Macaca fascicularis: one gene and its partners. The protein of the gene in region 3 purifies or fractionates together with the protein of the main gene of each other region. This does not show direct contact. Links are inferred from orthologs where the notes say so. Each region holds a gene or a part of one and is shown on either strand. Other genes may lie near its edges.

What was found.
Region 1: the proteins of RYK (region 3) and ADGRA3 purify together in Homo sapiens (affinity purification with mass spectrometry; 3 studies listed by BioGRID and IntAct, with this or other methods). This does not show direct contact. The link is inferred for Macaca fascicularis from reciprocal best matches to the Homo sapiens genes RYK and ADGRA3.
Region 2: the proteins of RYK (region 3) and natural cytotoxicity triggering receptor 3 ligand 1 purify together in Homo sapiens (affinity purification with mass spectrometry; 3 studies listed by BioGRID and IntAct, counting the BioPlex papers as one, with this or other methods). This does not show direct contact. The link is inferred for Macaca fascicularis from reciprocal best matches to the Homo sapiens genes RYK and NCR3LG1.
Region 4: the proteins of RYK (region 3) and PCDH7 purify together in Homo sapiens (affinity purification with mass spectrometry; 3 studies listed by BioGRID and IntAct, with this or other methods). This does not show direct contact. The link is inferred for Macaca fascicularis from reciprocal best matches to the Homo sapiens genes RYK and PCDH7.

What each region holds. Positions count from the first base shown.
Region 1 is NC_088379.1:21,660,114-21,664,761, reverse strand, and holds the start of ADGRA3 (adhesion G protein-coupled receptor A3), read left to right. Parts: upstream 1-1,632; 5' UTR 1,633-1,890; coding exon 1,891-2,141; intron 2,142-2,191; exon of another isoform or gene 2,192-2,392; intron 2,393-4,648. UniProt on the Homo sapiens protein: Orphan receptor that may have a role in planar cell polarity pathway.
Region 2 is NC_088388.1:48,428,902-48,433,536, reverse strand, and holds the start of natural cytotoxicity triggering receptor 3 ligand 1, read left to right. Parts: upstream 1-1,704; 5' UTR 1,705-1,950; coding exon 1,951-2,047; intron 2,048-2,803; exon of another isoform or gene 2,804-3,663; intron 3,664-4,635. UniProt on the Homo sapiens protein: Triggers NCR3-dependent natural killer cell activation.
Region 3 is NC_088376.1:37,066,308-37,069,348, reverse strand, and holds the end of RYK (tyrosine-protein kinase RYK), read left to right. Parts: intron 1-156; coding exon 157-293; intron 294-1,271; coding exon 1,272-1,383; 3' UTR 1,384-2,410; downstream 2,411-3,041. UniProt on the Homo sapiens protein: May be a coreceptor along with FZD8 of Wnt proteins, such as WNT1, WNT3, WNT3A and WNT5A. Involved in neuron differentiation, axon guidance, corpus callosum establishment and neurite outgrowth.
Region 4 is NC_088379.1:29,920,539-29,925,200, reverse strand, and holds the start of PCDH7 (protocadherin-7), read right to left. Parts: upstream 3,256-4,662; 5' UTR 2,188-3,255; coding exon 1-2,187.

The DNA of each region.
Region 1 (4,648 bases), on a different chromosome or scaffold from region 3:
ACACACGATGTAGCCACAGTTGGCCACCATATTAGACAGTAAAGAACTAGAACAGTTATACAATCACAGAATGTATTATTAGACAGCACTGGACATTGTTGGGTTGGTCAAATGAACTGCTATTCAAATTTAATACAACAGTATATGATAAATGGAGACCATTTATTTACTTCCCATTGAGAAAGCTCTAGTCAGATAAATCAATTCCTGGAAATTGGTCCCTAAGATAAATTTTGTAGGGGCCAGAGGCAGTAATGCCCTTAGACTCAAGCAAGAAAAACCGTGCTCTGGGCCCTCCATTTTAGAGGACACCAACCTGACTCTTCTTATGGGGTGAAAAATCTCCAGGCTAGCACCCAAAGCCTGGGTACCACTATGTCCCCAAGACTCAGGACCCTGGAATTCCCTGACTGATATTACCAAGGCCACTTCTTGGCCCTGAGCTAGCTTCCTCTGAGAACTGTCCTCCCAATGAAGGACCCAACAACTGGTATAGGCACACCTGGGCTCGAGAGGCAGACAAAGGGTGGCTGGTAGAAAGTGTGAACAGAACTTGGTTTTGTGGGCTGCAGTGTTCACACACAGGTACAAAAATCCCTTCTTGTCCTTGAAGACAGCTGGGCACAGGACGCAAAGGCGGTGAGGGTGTACAGGCCAAAGATTTGGATCTGACTCTTTCCCACATGCTGTGTTTCAGGGAGAAACTCCAAAGTGTCTGAGAATCCTGCTTACAAACCTTCCAGGTTGTAATGGAGGTAATTTCTCAAAGCAGGAGCACAGAACATACTTTATTAGCATCATAGAATCCTTGTAAAATTTCAAACATAGGGTAGGTAAGCCCTGGGCTTGCAAATGTTAGGGCGAGGCTAGAAGTCAGAGTAATCAATTCTGTTAGGGTTTCTTGGAGGGTTCTCTCATTATTGCCCGAACTGGTGAACATCTCAGGTATCTTTGCCTGTCAAATTTCTTTCAAAAGGCAGCCTTTCTAGTGAGGTCCAGATGCATCCTCTAGAGTCTATCGCTGTTGTCGCTGAAGGCTAGAAACAGTTTCAGATTGTTCACCGCATTGAAGAGGAACCTGTTTCCTGGCTCGAGTGTATTTGGGACAAATGGGACTACCACAATGAGGTGAGAAGGCGATTCCTTCCGAAACACTTGGTTTTGGGTACTTTCCCCATAGGGATGCTCAGGGAAATTCCCTGCTCTTCTCTCTACTCCATCCTCCGGGTCAGGCTCCTTGGGCCACATGGGCAGTCTCCAGGAGCGCACAGGACGGCTTTGTCCTGTGCCCGTGGTGCAAGCGCGGTGACGGCGAAGGGAAACGAGCAGAAGAGTGGCCACCGCGGCTGGAGTTTGGACTCGAACTTTCCTTGGCCCTCTCTACGAGTTACCGCCTTCCCGCGGGCTCCCCACAACTCCTGCCCGGAGGCCAAGGCCCGGGCGCGCACCGGGTCGGAGTCGGGCTCGGCAGGTCCCGAGAGCGTGCGCCTCCTCTCCGGACTCCCGGGCAGCCGCAGACACCGGGAGAGCAGGAGAGCCGGGGAGGAGGAGGGGCAGGGGCGGAGGCGGCCGGCGGCGGCGGGCGGGGAGGAGCCGCCGCGGGTCCTGGCCAGGGGAGGAGGCGGCGGCGGCGGCGGAGGAGGAGGCGGTGCTCGCGCCGGGCGGTAGAGCAGCACTGGGACCCGTGCGGCCGTGACCCCCGGCTCCCTCGAGGCCCAGCGCAGCCGCAGCGGACAAAGGAGCATGTCGGCGCCGGGGAGGGCCCGTCCTCCGGCCGCCATGAGGCTCCGGGCGCCGCTGAGCCCGCGCCGCGCTCCTGCCCGCCCGGACTTTGGGGCGGCCCGCTAGGCCAGTGCGCCGCCGCTCTCCCCGCAGGCCCCGGCCCGCAGCATGGAGCCACCCGGACGCCGGCGGGGCCGCGCGCAGCCGCCGCTGCTGCTGCAGCTCTCGCTGTTAGCGCTGCTAGCGCTGCTGGGAGGTGGCGGTGGCGCCGCGGCGCTGCCCGCCGGCTGCAAGCACGATGGGCGGCCCCGAGGGTCTGGCAGAGCGGCGGGTGCCGCCGAGGGCAAGGTGGTGTGTAGCAGCCTGGAGCTCGCGCAGGTCCTGCCCCCAGATACTCTGCCCAACCGCACGGTCACCCTGTGAGTATTTCCCGGGACGCCCGGTCCTGTGCCGCTCGGCTTTTTCTTACCTCTCCGCTCAACTTTGGAGAGGGGTCCTGCCGGCACCCACGCGCCTTTGTGTGGAGCTGTAGGTAGGGGGTGGTGCTAGGAAAGACCTCGTGTGCTTGGCATGGGTGCAGTTCAGGGAAAGGCAAGCGAATCTGCGTCTGAGCTGCCTCTCAGCTCCACTAGTTTGCAAAGTAAAGTTTTCGGGTTCTCAGGCGCGCCCCGCGCTGTCCCGGGCGCAGCGCTTTTGGGCTGTGCGGTGTGCCACGTGAGGATGCAAGTAAACACGCAGTCGACAGAGTTAAAGCTCATTCATCCTGGGCTTGGGCTTCCAGAAAACACAATGCTTGATTACAAGCGCCAGTCCTTCTGCTTCTTTGCAAATTAAGTTACACTTACGTGGTAGAGTTTACAAAACACAAGGACTGTGTGCGAGCCGAAACCCCAAGACGCTTCCTTTGCCTTTTGCTATCTTAGTTTTATTACAGTTAAAGAACACTTTTTAAGATAGAGTTGTTATTAAGGGCTGGAAACGTTTCAGATCAATCTGTTTATGTACCTTGCAGTCCCGTTTTCGTGTCTGTGGGGGCTCATATTTAAAAGCCAGGAACTTTGGAATTGAATACTGTGGGTTTATTGAGCCTTCCAACTCGAGGGATTTTTGATTTTCGGATTGAGTTTCCACCTGGAAGGAAAAATTTTGGTAACTCACTTGTGCTGGGATTCACGGTTCAGTTTTGCAAACGTAGTTCTGCCAATTCTAGCTGAACAGTTGGCCCCAGTGACTGTCGAGTTTGTTTTCAGAAGGATGAATTGGTTTGGAAAGTTTTGAGTCTAAGTGTTTCTCATGGGTATTTTGTTCAACTGAAATGTGAGTCCCTTGGCTCGGGGTTCCTTTATGTTGTTTTGGTTGGTTTCCTAAAAAAAGAATCAAGGCAGCCACTATACAAACATGAATGCAAGGGCCGCAGCATGATCTATGAGAACACTTAAAGTATCGTTTTAAATGTAACCCAAATTCAGCAGGAGTATATACAGGTAGGCCAGGTATACATTTCATTACTAACACCTTTGTTTACCCTTCATTTCCATTTTTGGAATTAGGAAACATTCAACCATGAAAACTGTGTCTATGTGTTTATGGAGGCCTGAAGATGGGTGAAAGAGTTTTTGTTTTGTTTGACTCCTTTACTAACACGTTACCATTTGGTGGTGGCAGCAGTTATATTTATGTATTTCTTAGCCAGATTCTTTGAAGTGGAAATTTTCGGTATGGGACTTCAATTACAGTGCAAGTGGAGAAAATTCCAATGTTGGAGGAGATTTTCTTTGTTACTCTGCAAAAAATTAGTCATCATGCAGTTGTGTTATAAACATTTAGGTTTGGGGTCAGTTAGTGGCATTTACGTTGACTCATGTTTAGGTGCAGTTTTTCTGACCTAAAAGTGTCAACAATTCCAGCTGGATTGGGTCAACTACTAGTAAATTGCTGATGTTGCTTTGCAGAAAAAAATAGGGGATATGGTGGTAAATTGATTTTCAGCATATGAACTGGTTAAAATATAAGTATGAAATGTCATTTTAATCCAGGTTTTTTTTTTTTTTTTTTGCCTGAAAGCTTTTTAGATGAAAATAAAATTAAGGTTGGGCATGGTGACTTACACCTGTAATCCCGGCACTTTGTGAGGCCAAAGCGGGTAGATCACTTGAGGTCAGGAGTTCAAGACCAGCCTGGCCAACGTGGCGAAACCCTGTCTCTACTAAAAATACAAAAATTAGCCAGGCGTGGTGGCGTGTGCCTGTCATTCCAGCTACTTGGGAGGCTGAGGCAGGTGAATCACTTGAACCCGAGAGGTGGAGATTGCAGTTAGCCGAGATCACACCACTGCACTCCAGCCTGTGTGACAGAGTGAGACTCTGAGCCAAAAAAAAGAAGAAAAGAAAATTAATAAAATTAATTTAGTGAATGGGAAGAAGATGCTATTAAGGATCAATTAAAGCTGTTCTGCGGGTCGTGGTGGCTTACGCCTGTAATCCTAGCACTTTGAGAGGTGGAGGTGGGTGGATCATCTGAGGTCAGGAGTTAGAGACCAGCCTGGCCAACAAGATGAAAACCCCATCTCTACTAAAAATACAAAAAATTAGCGGGGCGTGGTGGCGGGTGCCTGTAATCCCAGCTACTTGGGAGGCTGAGGCAGAAGAATTGCTTGAACCCGGGAGGCAGAGTTTGTAGTGAGATGAGAAGGCACCATTGCGCTCCAGCCTGGGTAACAAGAATGAAACTCTGTCTCAAAAAAAAAAAAAAAAAATGAGGCGTTATTCTGGCTGAAGAGGGTTCAAGGTATATGAGTCCCCCGTAGAGGGGTCTTGTGGGCCAGTTTCGTCATTTTACTGGGGAAAGAGTTAGAGTTACTGTAGATAAGGGACTCACCAGAATTCTCATAGTAGAGCAGCATCTGAGTCCACATCCCAGATGCTGA
Region 2 (4,635 bases), on a different chromosome or scaffold from region 3:
TGGAAATGTTATTTAATGATGTCACTAATACCAGACAAGGATGTCTCCTCAGGTAAGGCTCCTTGGAGGAGGCAGAGGTTGAGAAGAGGTATAATTTAGGTTTTTAAAATGCAATAGCCAGACTTAACCTTGCACATCTCTACCTGTTACAACGGTGGTCCGGAAAGCTGCAATCTGAAGGCCCCTCAGCTAGTTGCTGCCACTGTGGGCCCTCTGCGCATCTCTCATTTCCGGGCTCTTTATGCATGTACTCTGTTCTGCAGATAAGTGAGGATGTGACTATTTGCTTAGTGACAGTATCTCTAACCCTGCTTTTTCTCAGTTTTAGAGATGTGTAAACAGGCTGGGGATATGAGGTCACTACCCACTGTCCTATAATCAGCAGATGGCATGACTGGCATTGGAGTTTAGGTCTGTCTGTGCTTTTCTGTACATTACATCCTTTTTAATGATGTGAAGGAAAAATGCAGTAGGGTCAATGAGACAAATGGAATGCAGGTTGCTGGGGAAAGAATGCAGGTTGTGCGTTACAAATGCACACACTTTACAGTGCCACTTGGGTTCTGAACTTTGCGGTTAAATTGATTTAAAAACTGGTCTAGAGGTGGTAAAACTTAAACAGCGAATGAAAATATTTGGGTTTGCTTCAGGAGGTCGCAAACCACTTCTTGGTTAGTAGAAATGGGAAATTAAGGGCCACCTTCAGGCGTTTAACTGAATCGTCCTGGGGATTTAATTTGGCTTTCGACTCAATGCTAAGGTTTTGTTGCTTTTGGTTTTTAAAGTAATGTAAGTTTATCGTGCCAACGGTAAGATATCTCTCGGGACGCGTGCACCTGCTCTCGCAATCACTGACTGCGGTCAGCATCCTCCTTAGAGCAGCGCCCCGGGCCACTTGGATCCCGGCCTCAATTTACTAAGCGAACTCAGAGGATGCCCAGAGTCCTGGACTGCAGAGCCGCTCGCGAGAGGCACCGGGGCTGTAACCGCGCAACCTCGTGCCGTGGGCGGGGACGAGGGAGGCTTCTCCCGCCGGTGTGCGCCCTGGCGCGAAAGTGAGGCGCGGGCGGGGCTGGTCACGCGCCTGGCTTCCTGCAGTGCGAACCCTGGAAATCCCGGAGACTTCGCAGTTGCCGAAGGGACCCGAAGAAGTGGGATGTGCAAAAGCGCCGGCTGGAAATCCCGGCTGTGTCTCCGTCAACTCTTCACGCAACAGAGGGCTCCCCCGGCCCTTGGTTTTTACCGGGCCGCCTGGTCCCACTCGGCGAAAAAAATTCCAGAGCTGCTGCCGTGGCGATGGCGTGGAGGGCTGCCTCCTCCGCGTGCGCGGCGCCCCTGCTTCTGTGGTGCGCACTGATGACCGCAGGTAGGGGGCGGCTGGGGTGGGCTGGGGCGGAGGCGGCTGGGGTGGGCTGGGGCGGAGGCGGCTGGGGTGGGCTGGGGCGGAGGCGGCTGGGGTGGGCTGGGGCGGAGGCGGCTGGGGTGGGCTGGGGCGGAGGCGCCTGGCGCCAGAGGGTCCTTGCGGTTGGCTCCCTAGCGCCCCTCCAGGGGACCGCGACGTCCTGGGGCCTGGGGGCTCTATTTTCTTTTCTTTTTCTTTTCTTTTTTTTTTTTTTTTTTGATACGGAGTGTCGCTCTCGCCCAGGCTGGAGTACGGTGGCGCGACCTCGGCTGACTCCAAGCTCCGCCTCCCGGGTTCACGCCATTCTCCTGCCTCAGCCTCCCGAGTAGCTGGGACTACGGGCGCCCGCTACCACGACCGGCTAATTTTTTGTAGTTTTAGTAGAGACGGGGTTTCACCGTGTTAGCCAAGATGGTCTCGATCTCCTTGACCTCGTGATCCACCCACGTCGGCCTTAAAAAGTGCTGGGATTACAGGCGGGAGCCACAGCGCCGGGCCTGGAGGCTCTATTTTCAAGCGCCCCTCCTTTGTGAGATGCGGAGTCCCCGATGCAACAGGTTGATATTGAAGGCCTGCCCTGTGCAGGGTCGGCACCTGTGCGAGCGGAAACGGTGCTTCCTTGGATGTCGCGCACTCGGTGCCTTGGTAATCTGCTCCTCTCTTGCATCATCCAAGGGGTCGGAGCAGAGAAGAAAATCAGGGAATGGGGAAAATAGGAAAATGATTCACCCGCGTATCAGTGGGTCCTCCTGGCTTTGCTAAGTAAGGTCTTTATTGAGAGAGGGAGGGGAGTGTTTTGATCTTGAGGTGACCTTCAAAAGTTCTCTTACTTTTTTGGGAACTCGTATGGGAATGTTCTGCGTTAACTTAAACAGGAGACTACAAGGCTGAAACGCGTATGTAGAGATATTTAAACTCATTTCTAACTAGAAGAATGGCAATTAAACAACAAGATGCTGCTTGACCCTTACTAGGCTGGCCACAATACGCTCCTGGGTACCAGGTGCTGGAGAGGGAATGTAGGAATCCCGGAGGCGCGCTCTGGGCGCCCCAAGTCACTGCAGGTGGAGGCGAGCCGCGTGTGGACCTCACCGTGGAGCGCTGGGCGGCAGCTTCACACCACGCCCTTGCTGCTTGCCGAGCAGCGTGAACGGATGTTGAAGGCAAAGAGCCAAGCAGTGGACATACAATGTAATACCCTTTCCACAGTTTGAGAAACAGAAGATACAGCCTTAAAGAGAACAAAAATGTATGTTAAACACCTTAGAATGACTGCCCAATGGGAGAGGGAAATGAAAATAAAAACGAGGGAATAGCATTTCTATACATTTGCAATGAGCAATGTGAAAATAAGGCAGTTCCGAGTGAAGTGTGGGCGGCGACGAAAGCCAAATTTGCGCTGGACTCGGCGCTGGTGGCTGGAAGCGCTTCCACGCCCTCAGTCTGGGTCTCCTCGAGCTCGAAGTGGCGCCTGGGGGCTCCCGCCGCGCCCACCCGGTCCCGGGCCCGGCGCCCCCTCCTCAGGAGCCTCGGGTGCCAGCCACTTTCGTCCGGTCCTCGTCCCCACGGATGCTGGCGGTGGTGGAGAAGGGCCGCGCGGTCTCTGGGAAGCGGAGAGGAAGGAACGCCGTTTGGCTGTGCGGCGGCGCTTTAGTGGCAGCAGCAGCAGCTCCTGGGAGGAAGCTAGTTCGGGCTCGTCCAGCCACAAGGAGTGAGGCGGCCGCTGCATGACGGTCGGACCCCAGAACCAGGCGTTGGTGCTGGACTTCGGCACCGGAAGACACTGTGAAATTGAAAACCATCGGAAGCTTTCGCCTAACAAATCATTTCCGCCCACAAGAAATCCCTACACCTTAGAATGGAACATCTATTTCCCGGGCTGTTATTCTGTGTGGAAGCAAATTTAAAGTGGTACAAGAAAAAAAAATCCAATCAGACAAAGGAATTCGTCAGATTTTAATGCAAGATATTCTAGCCCGTCTTTGTATGAGACTGTCTTTAAAGGTTGTTGATATAGAAAATGTTTTAAAGAACGTTAGGTTTTATTTCAGAAATGAAGTTCAAAAGAGCAATTTGTAAAGCTGTAGTTAACAATCCTCCCTGGTTGGAGGGCTCTAGAACGGGAGATTCTCTATGCAGGTTATACCACTAGTTGATTTGAGAAGATAAATGCATAGATGCTTTTCCTTGGAAACAAGACTGCAGAAAATTCCAAGGATCTAGTCCTTGAAAAAGGGGAATGCTCTTAAGCTGTTATTAAGGTACTAAACTCTGTACCTTTAAATGAAAATACATGGAGGTCCGGGGTGAGCGCTTGGGCGCTCTGAAAATAGACGACGTTTCCCAAATTTGCCTTCTAAATTTTGATTTGTTGATTTAAATCTTTTAAATTTATGTAGTCTGGCACTCAGGTTTGTATTCCTTTTAAGCACATGTTAGTGTTTTGGTATTTTCCCCTCCCCCTCCGACCCCCCAATTCTTTTTTTTTTTTTTTTTGGGTAGTCTCTTTTCATTTGTAAGAGTGACAATAGAACTAGGTGGCCTGGCTATTTCTCTCGTATCCTTGGCTCCTCCATTCTTTGGTTGGCCACCAGGGGGAAGCATACTGTTTTTTGGTTACAGTTGACCCTATCTTCATTTTGTAGGTCAAGTCTGTTTTTGCCTTGATACATAGAACATAAAGCTTGTCACCATGTTTGCCTAATGTATTATTTTTAAAAATAGACTTGCACAAACCTTTGAGTAAGTTGGCAGGTTTTTGGATACATTTTTTGTTAACATTAATTTTGAAAACTTTATTTAGATATGTTGGGTGTGACTAATGAAAGGACATGTTTGATGGCAACAAGGGGAATTCGGTTTCTGACATTTATCTAAATATTGATGTCTAGCTCTGCATTGTTAGTAATGAGTCTGACTTCTTTGGAGTTGCACTCTTCTTTGAAACAGCAAATGTAATATTTTGAACTGTCCTTGCACTTTTTGTTGGATTGGTGTAAGCGTAAACTTGCTGGCAACCTACTGTTCTAAAATAGAAAACATCTAGCCAGTCGCAGTGGCTCATACCTGTAATCCCAACACCTGAGGAGGCAGTGGGAGGATTGCTTGAGCCCAGGAGTTGGAGACCAGCCTGGGCAACTTAGTAAGTCTCCATCTCTACAAAAAATCAAAAAATTAGCTGAGCATGGTGGCGTGTGCCTGTAGTCCCAACTACTTGGGAGGCTGAGGCAGGA
Region 3 (3,041 bases):
CTAACTGTGTATGATAGACTTCTTTTTGTAAATAACATTTCACTTTTCCGAAGCATGAGTTGAGCTGCTCTTTTTTGTACTGTAGCTGGCTGTGGGCACTGGCCCCCTGACCGTTGTTTTAAATGTCCCCTCATTGTGCTCCTGCTCCTTTCCTAGTGGGCCTTTGGAGTGACCCTGTGGGAACTCATGACTCTGGGCCAGACGCCCTACGTGGACATTGACCCCTTCGAGATGGCCGCATACCTGAAAGATGGTTACCGAATAGCCCAGCCAATCAACTGTCCTGATGAATTGTGAGTTTTTTTTTGAGCTTGAAGGCATGAGTTTTATTCCATTTACTATATTGGAATAAAGGAAAAAGAGCAGGTTTCCATATTCACATAGAGCCTTCCCTTTTAAGAATAATGACTCTTTGGATTTAAATTAGACTCTTATAAAGAACCACAAAGTCAGGGAGATTCATTCACTCTTTCATGCATTTGGTATTAGAATGCCTTGCATTTTATTTTATAGTGCATAATCTAAGCACTATAAATTAGTCTGAGAGGGTGTACTAAGAAAATTGAATACTATGTCAGTTATTCTATACAGAGTGAGTACCTGACTTTTGTAGTTATAAAGTAATTATAAAGGACATAGTAGTTATAAAACCTTTCTCATTGTCATTTTGCCTTGCCAGTTAGTATCAGCTGATACAGGGAAGATGATCTGGACTAGTAAGCAAAATAGTTGCTTTCTGTTTCCTGCTTCTATCACGTAGCTTATCTTGCCATGTAATGAGGATGGGATAAACAGGAGGCTCTTCAGGGTGATTGATTGTACAGATGAGTATGTTCTCAGTTCCAGAACTCCCTGAAGTTTCTGCACCATGACAAAGTGGCAGCTTTTGTACTGATTTTACTCTAGATCCAGGGTTCATACAACTTAGATAAAACTTTCTCTTCCTCCAAGTTCTTTTTCTTAATTTAACTACAGGAAAACACAGGTTGTTCTTTTTTGACTGTATTTTAGGTTTTTATATGAACTCTCTGTATTTGCTGAAATATTTTGATATGCTGTCATGAAGAATTGAAATTCACACATGTAATCCAAATAATTTCTTTTAGCTTCTTTCTAGAGCTGCCAACAGATAGTAAAATGAATCCGTTTTTAATATATCATCCTCTCGATACCCACCTTTAGACAGGCAGCATAACTGGCATCAAACTGACCAAAAGTTTAGGAATACTGTATCCTTACTAGTCCAAATTTTCATTTTTGTCACTCTGCAGATTTGCTGTGATGGCCTGTTGCTGGGCCTTAGATCCGGAGGAGAGGCCCAAGTTTCAGCAGCTGGTACAGTGCCTAACAGAGTTTCACGCAGCCCTGGGGGCCTACGTCTGACTCTTCTCTCCCAATCCCGCAGCATCAGGAGGAAGGTGCCTGTCGCGGCTCTCTTGAAGCCTGTCATGGATGCTTCCTATCTAACACAACGCCAACAGAAGCACATTCGTCTTCCAGAACGCCGTGCCTTAGGAATGCTTTAGAATCTGAACTTTTTAAGACAGACTTAATAATGTGGCATATTTTCTAGATAATCACTTTTATTAGGTTGAACTGAAAGGGTTTTTGTAAATTTTTTGGCCAAAATTTTTTAAAACATAGTTACTTTGGACTAGGGGTACATTCTTACAAAATAAATAAACAGTTTTTAAAATTGTTTAGACACAGATATTTGGAATTAGCTATCTTAGTGCCAACTGCTTTTTATTTTTTTACTTCATCAAGGTGATGTAAGTGACTCACCTTTAAAGTTTTTTTAACGTTATTTTTTGTCACTACTCTGGGAAATGGTTTATCTTCAAAATGCAATGCTTTTCTTAGGAAAGGAAAAACAGCATTAAAAGATACCTGGTTTGCCTTGTACAAGAAAAGGCAGTATTAGAGGAAGAAAATTTAAAGAAAAGCTAGAGGAAAAAAGCAATTTTTTTTAATACTTACTAGAAGCAAACTGCCCTTGCGTGGAAAACTGTTTATTTTTTTCAGTGAAAAGGAATTCTGCTTTCGTATTTTTTGGGAAAGCAGGAACTGAGTTCATTACATCTTTAATTTGGCAGAAATTAGCCTTTCTGTGAACCAGAAGTGGTTTGGGGCAGATCTGTAGTAAACAATGGTGATTTTATTTATTTTTACTCTCTGGAAAAGGAGATAATACCATTCCAGAAAGTGAACTCATATTTCTAAGGTTAAGATTCCCTTTTATTGCACCTAGAATAGTGCTATGCACAGAGTGGGTGCCTGAGTTGTTGTCATTCTTTTAAAAAAAAAAAAAAATGTAAACTGGTAAATTTTGTGCTTATCTTCAAGGCTGGCTTAAGTATAAAATTGTTTTTTTAAACACTTGAAAAATTAAAGGATTTGTTTTATATTATGACAGTATTGAAATTATTTTTCATAATGAATGATTGCTTATTGCGTCTGGTCAGTCTTTGAACATTCAACAGCTGGACATGTGTGTTTTATTTCATGATGTTTCAGTCAAGTTCCAAAGCCCTAACACAGTTACAGCTGGCTCAGTCTCCAGGTTCTAGTGAAAAGTTGGAATTAATGTTATAAGGAAGTATTAAAACACTGAAACATTTCTCCAAAACCAGCAAGTAAGGGGTATGTATGTATTTATGCTCAGTTTTAGTTGGCCTAAAGCAGAGTTGAATGGGCCTCCTAAGTAGCTAGGCCTGCAGGTACTGCCACTGCTCCCATCTTCACAGATATATGAGGGAGAATGTGCAGCAGTTGGAGGCTTTCGCTGTTTTTAAACAAGCTTTATGAATCAGCAACGCATCTGGAAAGATAGCTCACACAGTGCCTGGTTTTCCACAAGTAAGCTCAGGGCATGATTTTCTGTGTACATTTGTTAACAGTTCTTTGGTTTTATAAATACTCATATGAAGCCAGTCCCTGGAGGACTGTTTTTTAAAAAGTCCCTTTGAACCATTTGTAAATTATATTTTCATTCATAACCTGCATTCTTAGAAGGCATTCAGTCAACATTTATAGCACTT
Region 4 (4,662 bases), on a different chromosome or scaffold from region 3:
CGAAACTGTAGCTGTGGCAGACCTGGGAGGATCTCCCCCATCCACAGCCTTGACTCTGAAAGTGTATGTGGTCTGATGTTCCCGGTCAAAAGACATTGTGGAGTAAATTGTCCCCGTGTCATTTTCAATAGAAAAAATGTTATTGTTCTCCTCTATGTACAGACTCATCTCTGCATTCCGCCCCTTGTCAGCATCCATCACGGTGACCATCCCCACAGGGCTGTTGGGCTGCAAGTTTTCTTTCACATAAAAGGTGAAGACGTCCTGCATAAACTTAGGGTCATTGTCATTCTTATCAGCCACCTGCACAATCACTGTAGTGCTGCCCTGCAGCACGGGGATGCCTTTGTCTTTGGCGTTAACTTTAAACTCATACCTGTCAGTCTGCTCGCGGTCCAGCACCGTATTGACCAGGATGTCCCCAGAATCGGGATCGATGGCAAAGATCCCCATCACAGAGGAGTCCAGCGAGTAGGCGATCTCAGCGTTCTTTCCGCTGTCTGCGTCTGTCGCCAGCACTGTGGCCACCCTCTCGCCCGGGATGTTGTTCTCAGGGAAGTAAACCTCCACCACCGACTGGCCGAACACAGGCGGGTTGTCGTTCGTGTCTCCCACCTTCACAATCAGGGAGTTGTTGCTCGAGAGGCTGGGGCTGCCTGAGTCCACCGCCACGATGACCACGTTGAACTCCCGGGTGGTCTCATAGTCCAGAGGGGTCGAGGTGTGCAAAAAGTACTTTTTCTTGTTCTGGTCGCCCTCGGTGTCGCTGGCTGGCTTGAGCTGGAAGGGCACGTCGCCCACCACGGTGCAGGTGACCACCCCGTTCTCGCCTTGGTCTCGGTCGGACACCTGCACCAGAGCGATGGGGGTGTCGACCAGAACGTCCTCGGCTACGTTGGCCACCCCGTCCTTGAGGGGGATGCGCCCAATCTTGCGGATTTCAATGGATGGCACATTGTCATTCTCGTCTTTGATGTTAAGGACCACGGTGGCCTTGTCGGTCTTGGGGGGCTGCCCACGGTCGCGGGCCATGACCGTGAAGCGCAGCTGGTTCACCTCCTCGCGGTCGATCCGGTGCAGGACGCTGAGCCAGCCGGACGTCTCGTCAAGGCGCAGCAGTCGCCTCACCGACTCGGTGGCCGCCCCGAACACGTACTCGATCTGCCCATTGACCCCCACGTCCAAGTCAGCTGCGCGCAGTTGCAGGATGGGGGTCCCCGGGGCGCTGTTCTCAGCTAAGTCGGCCTCGTACACGCTCTTCTCGAAGCGGGGGCTGTTGTCGTTCACGTCGGTGATGAGGACCCGTAGGATGGCCTGCGAGGAGCGAGGCGGGTCGCCGCCGTCGCGCACCCGCAGGGTCAGCTCGTAGGAGTCGCGCTGCTCGCGGTCCAGCGCCCCCTTCACGATCAGCTGCGGCTGCTTCTCGCCATCCGGGGTGTCCGCCACCTGCAGCTCGAACACGCTGCTGCGGCCGCCGGGGTTGGTGCCGCCGCCGCCCTCTGATGCGTCCAGCCGCCGCTTGGAGCCTCCCGAGCCGCCGCCGCTCGCGCCGTTCCCGCCGCCCCCGGGATAGGGGGCGCTGTCGGCCGCCCCGGCGCGCCGGCTCTCGCCGCCGCTGCCGCCGCCTCCGGGCTCCTGGAGCAGCTCGTAGCGCTCGATGCCGTTGCGGCCAAAGTCGCGGTCAGTGGCGGTGGGCAGCAGGTAGAGTGTGCCCACCGGCCGGTTCTCCTCCACCGTGAGCGTGAGCACGGGCGACGGGAAGGTGGGCGTGTTGTCGTTGATGTCGAGCACGATGACCCGACCCTCAAACAGGTCTACCCAGCTCTGCGAGGGCCCGATCACCGACACCTCGAAGTCCAGGAAGCACTCGTTCTCGTCGAAGATCATCTGACACTGGGGCAGCTTCTCGCGGTCGATGCGCCTCTCGCTCGTGCTCAGCTCGCCCGTAAGGTTGTCGATCTTCAGGTACTCGGAGCCGGACTCCAGGCTGAAAGTCACCTCACCCGATCCGGTCACGATGCCCAGGTCTGAAGCCACGTTGCCGATGCGGACGTCGGCGGGGCCCTCCTCGGCCAGCCGGTACCGGAGGAGCTGCTTGGCGGCCGCCAGGCTGAGCGAGAGCGGCAGGAGGAGGCAACAGCCCAAGCACCAGCCGCGCGCCCATCCCGCGGTCCGCATCCTCAGCATCTTCTCCTGCTGCTGCTGCTACTGCTCCTTCTAACCACAGCCCCCTCGGCGCCCCCCTCCTCCGGGGCCGGCCGCTTGCCCTCCTCCCAGTCCTCTCCCCTCTCCCGGAAAGGAAGGAGCGAGAGAGAGGGGAGGGAGGGGGCAAAAGCAGCGTGGAGAGTCGGCCGGGAATGCAGGTGGGAGGGCAGCGATAGATGCTTTTTTTTTTCTCCTGCTTCTTCCGAAAGTTATTGTTTCATAATTCATGCAATGGGTGCTAATCGCCCGCTTGCCGGCCGCCGTTCAGTCGCAGTACTCACAGTTCACGGGACACTGCGCGCCGCGGGTTCGGCGCCCCCCCACCCAGAGTCATTCCCGCAGCGGGCGGAGAATCCCCGGCTCTCGTCCCCGCTCTGTCGGAAGGGGCCAGAACTGCTCCGGCAGACGGGCAGTGGGGCTGGGAAGAGGTGGGGAACGAGCTTGCAGCCTCCCCCGCCTGCCAGCCCGCCGGTCTTTGCTGCTACTCGAGTTGAGTCCAATTCACGTTCCAGACACTCACTCCAAACCCAGGCTCTGCTCCGACTCCGGCCGCCCAGGCAAACGTGAGTCGCTTCCTGCACCAGGCGCTGGGGCCAGCAACAAGCCAGTCTCAACTCCGACTCTGCTCAGGCAGCGGGGGAGCCAGTCAACAGATAGAGAATGAAAAATCCCCCGGCACGTCGCTTCGGGCACGGTGCAGTGGAGACTACTCGCGTCACAGCGCGGTCCGCGTCCGGGTCCCCCCGGCGCGCCAAAGAGAAGCCCGAGCCATCTTCAGAGACGCCCAGAGAGTCAGTCCCTTCTCACCCCGGAGAGCGCGGGTTTCTCTTTTTTCTTAACAACTCTGCGCAAGGTCATTAGTCACGAAGCCGCCGCCTGAAACCGCAGCAGCCTTTCGCCCGCGGGGGCGAAGGCTGAGCCGTGCGCACCGTGCGGTGCCCAAGTTTGGGTTCGCAGCCGCAGAGTCCGTGCCTTTTCTCACCTGCATTCGGCCCGCATGTCGGAGCAGTGGGATCTGCAGCGCTGTGCGCGATTCAGGGAGGAGATTGCAGCCTCTCTCTCTCTCTCCCCGCTCTCTCTCGATCCCTCCCCTCCCTCCCTCCCTTTCTCTCTCCTCCCTCCTCTCTCTCCTCCCTCCTCTCCTTTCCCCTTTCCCCCTCTCCCACTCGCTCTCTTGCACGCTCTCTCTCCTTCCTCTTAGTCCCAATGCAGGGAACTCGAGCTGAACTTGATCCCTTTGCAGTTCAAAGGTGAGCAAACCAGGCTCGGAGCACAGGCGACGTTAGCCGGCGAAAGCGCACGGCTGGGCGTCCCCAACGGCAATTAACAAAGATGCCCAATTCTGTCTGGATTTCCGAAGAAAAGCCAAAGGCTTTGGGGCGGGGGTGGAAGGGGAGGTGGAGTCAGAGACAGCTGCCAAGTAGCTTTAAAAAAAAAAAAAAAAATCCAGTTTGCCAAGGGGAGAAAAAGTGCCAGTCGTTTGTGGCCTCGGAAGTGCCCTGGCACGGCTGGTGAATTCCGCAGTTTTCTCGTCCCTTTCGCGTCTGGGAGAGTCTGGTGCGGGCGCTCCCGCCGCCACTCAGGCTGCAGCGGCTCGGAGACACTGAACCGCTAGTAGGAAGCTCCCGTTCGCTACCCGCGAGCAGGAAACCCGCAAGTTGCCCAAAGTGGTGGTTGCTGCTGGGAGCTCGCTCGCTCACGGATCAGGCTTGTCCCTGACGCTGCTGCTGCAGCGGCGGCGGCAGTAGCTGCCCAGCCGCCGAAACTACACACAGGGAGAGAGCGAGGGAGGAGGGCCCGGGGTAAGGAGGCGGGAGGGAGCGTCAGCCAGCCTCCGCGCTCGGGAAAGCCCAGCCTCAGCTCCAGGGGCCGCTCAAAGTGTGCCCAATCCCAGCCAGACCTCTTTAAGCCAAAGCTCAACGCCCCCCAGCGAGTACCTCCGTCTTCTTCTCTGGGGGACTTGTTTTCCCTCCCTCGGGCTGGTAAATTTCCTCCTCCCTTAACTAATGCCCAGTTCACGCGTGAGAGCTTTTCGAGCTGTGTCAGGATAGATTTCTCCTTCTCCCTCTCTCTCAGACGACGTCCTCCCCCCACCCCCTCCACCCGGAAAGTGTCTCCGGTTCGCGATTTAGCATCTTGGTTAGGACATGGTTATCGGGGTCTTGGGGAACACACAAGAGCCCAGAAAGCCACTCTGTTCTGAAAAACCGTGACGGGCTGCAGTAGTGAAGAGAGAACATCAAACTCCAGAGAGCGGGAGAAAGATCCTTTTTTGGGAGCTCAGACTTTGGATGGTTGCGGGGGGGGGGGGGGCGGGGGGCGGTGGGTGGAGGGGGGGGAAGGATGCCTGTCTTTGTTTAAATGCTTGACATTCCTGTCGTCGTGCTTGCTTATGGGGGTAGACCGTGTGTGCGCGCGCCTGGTGAATAAACATGTTGGAAACCTCGATATTATTTT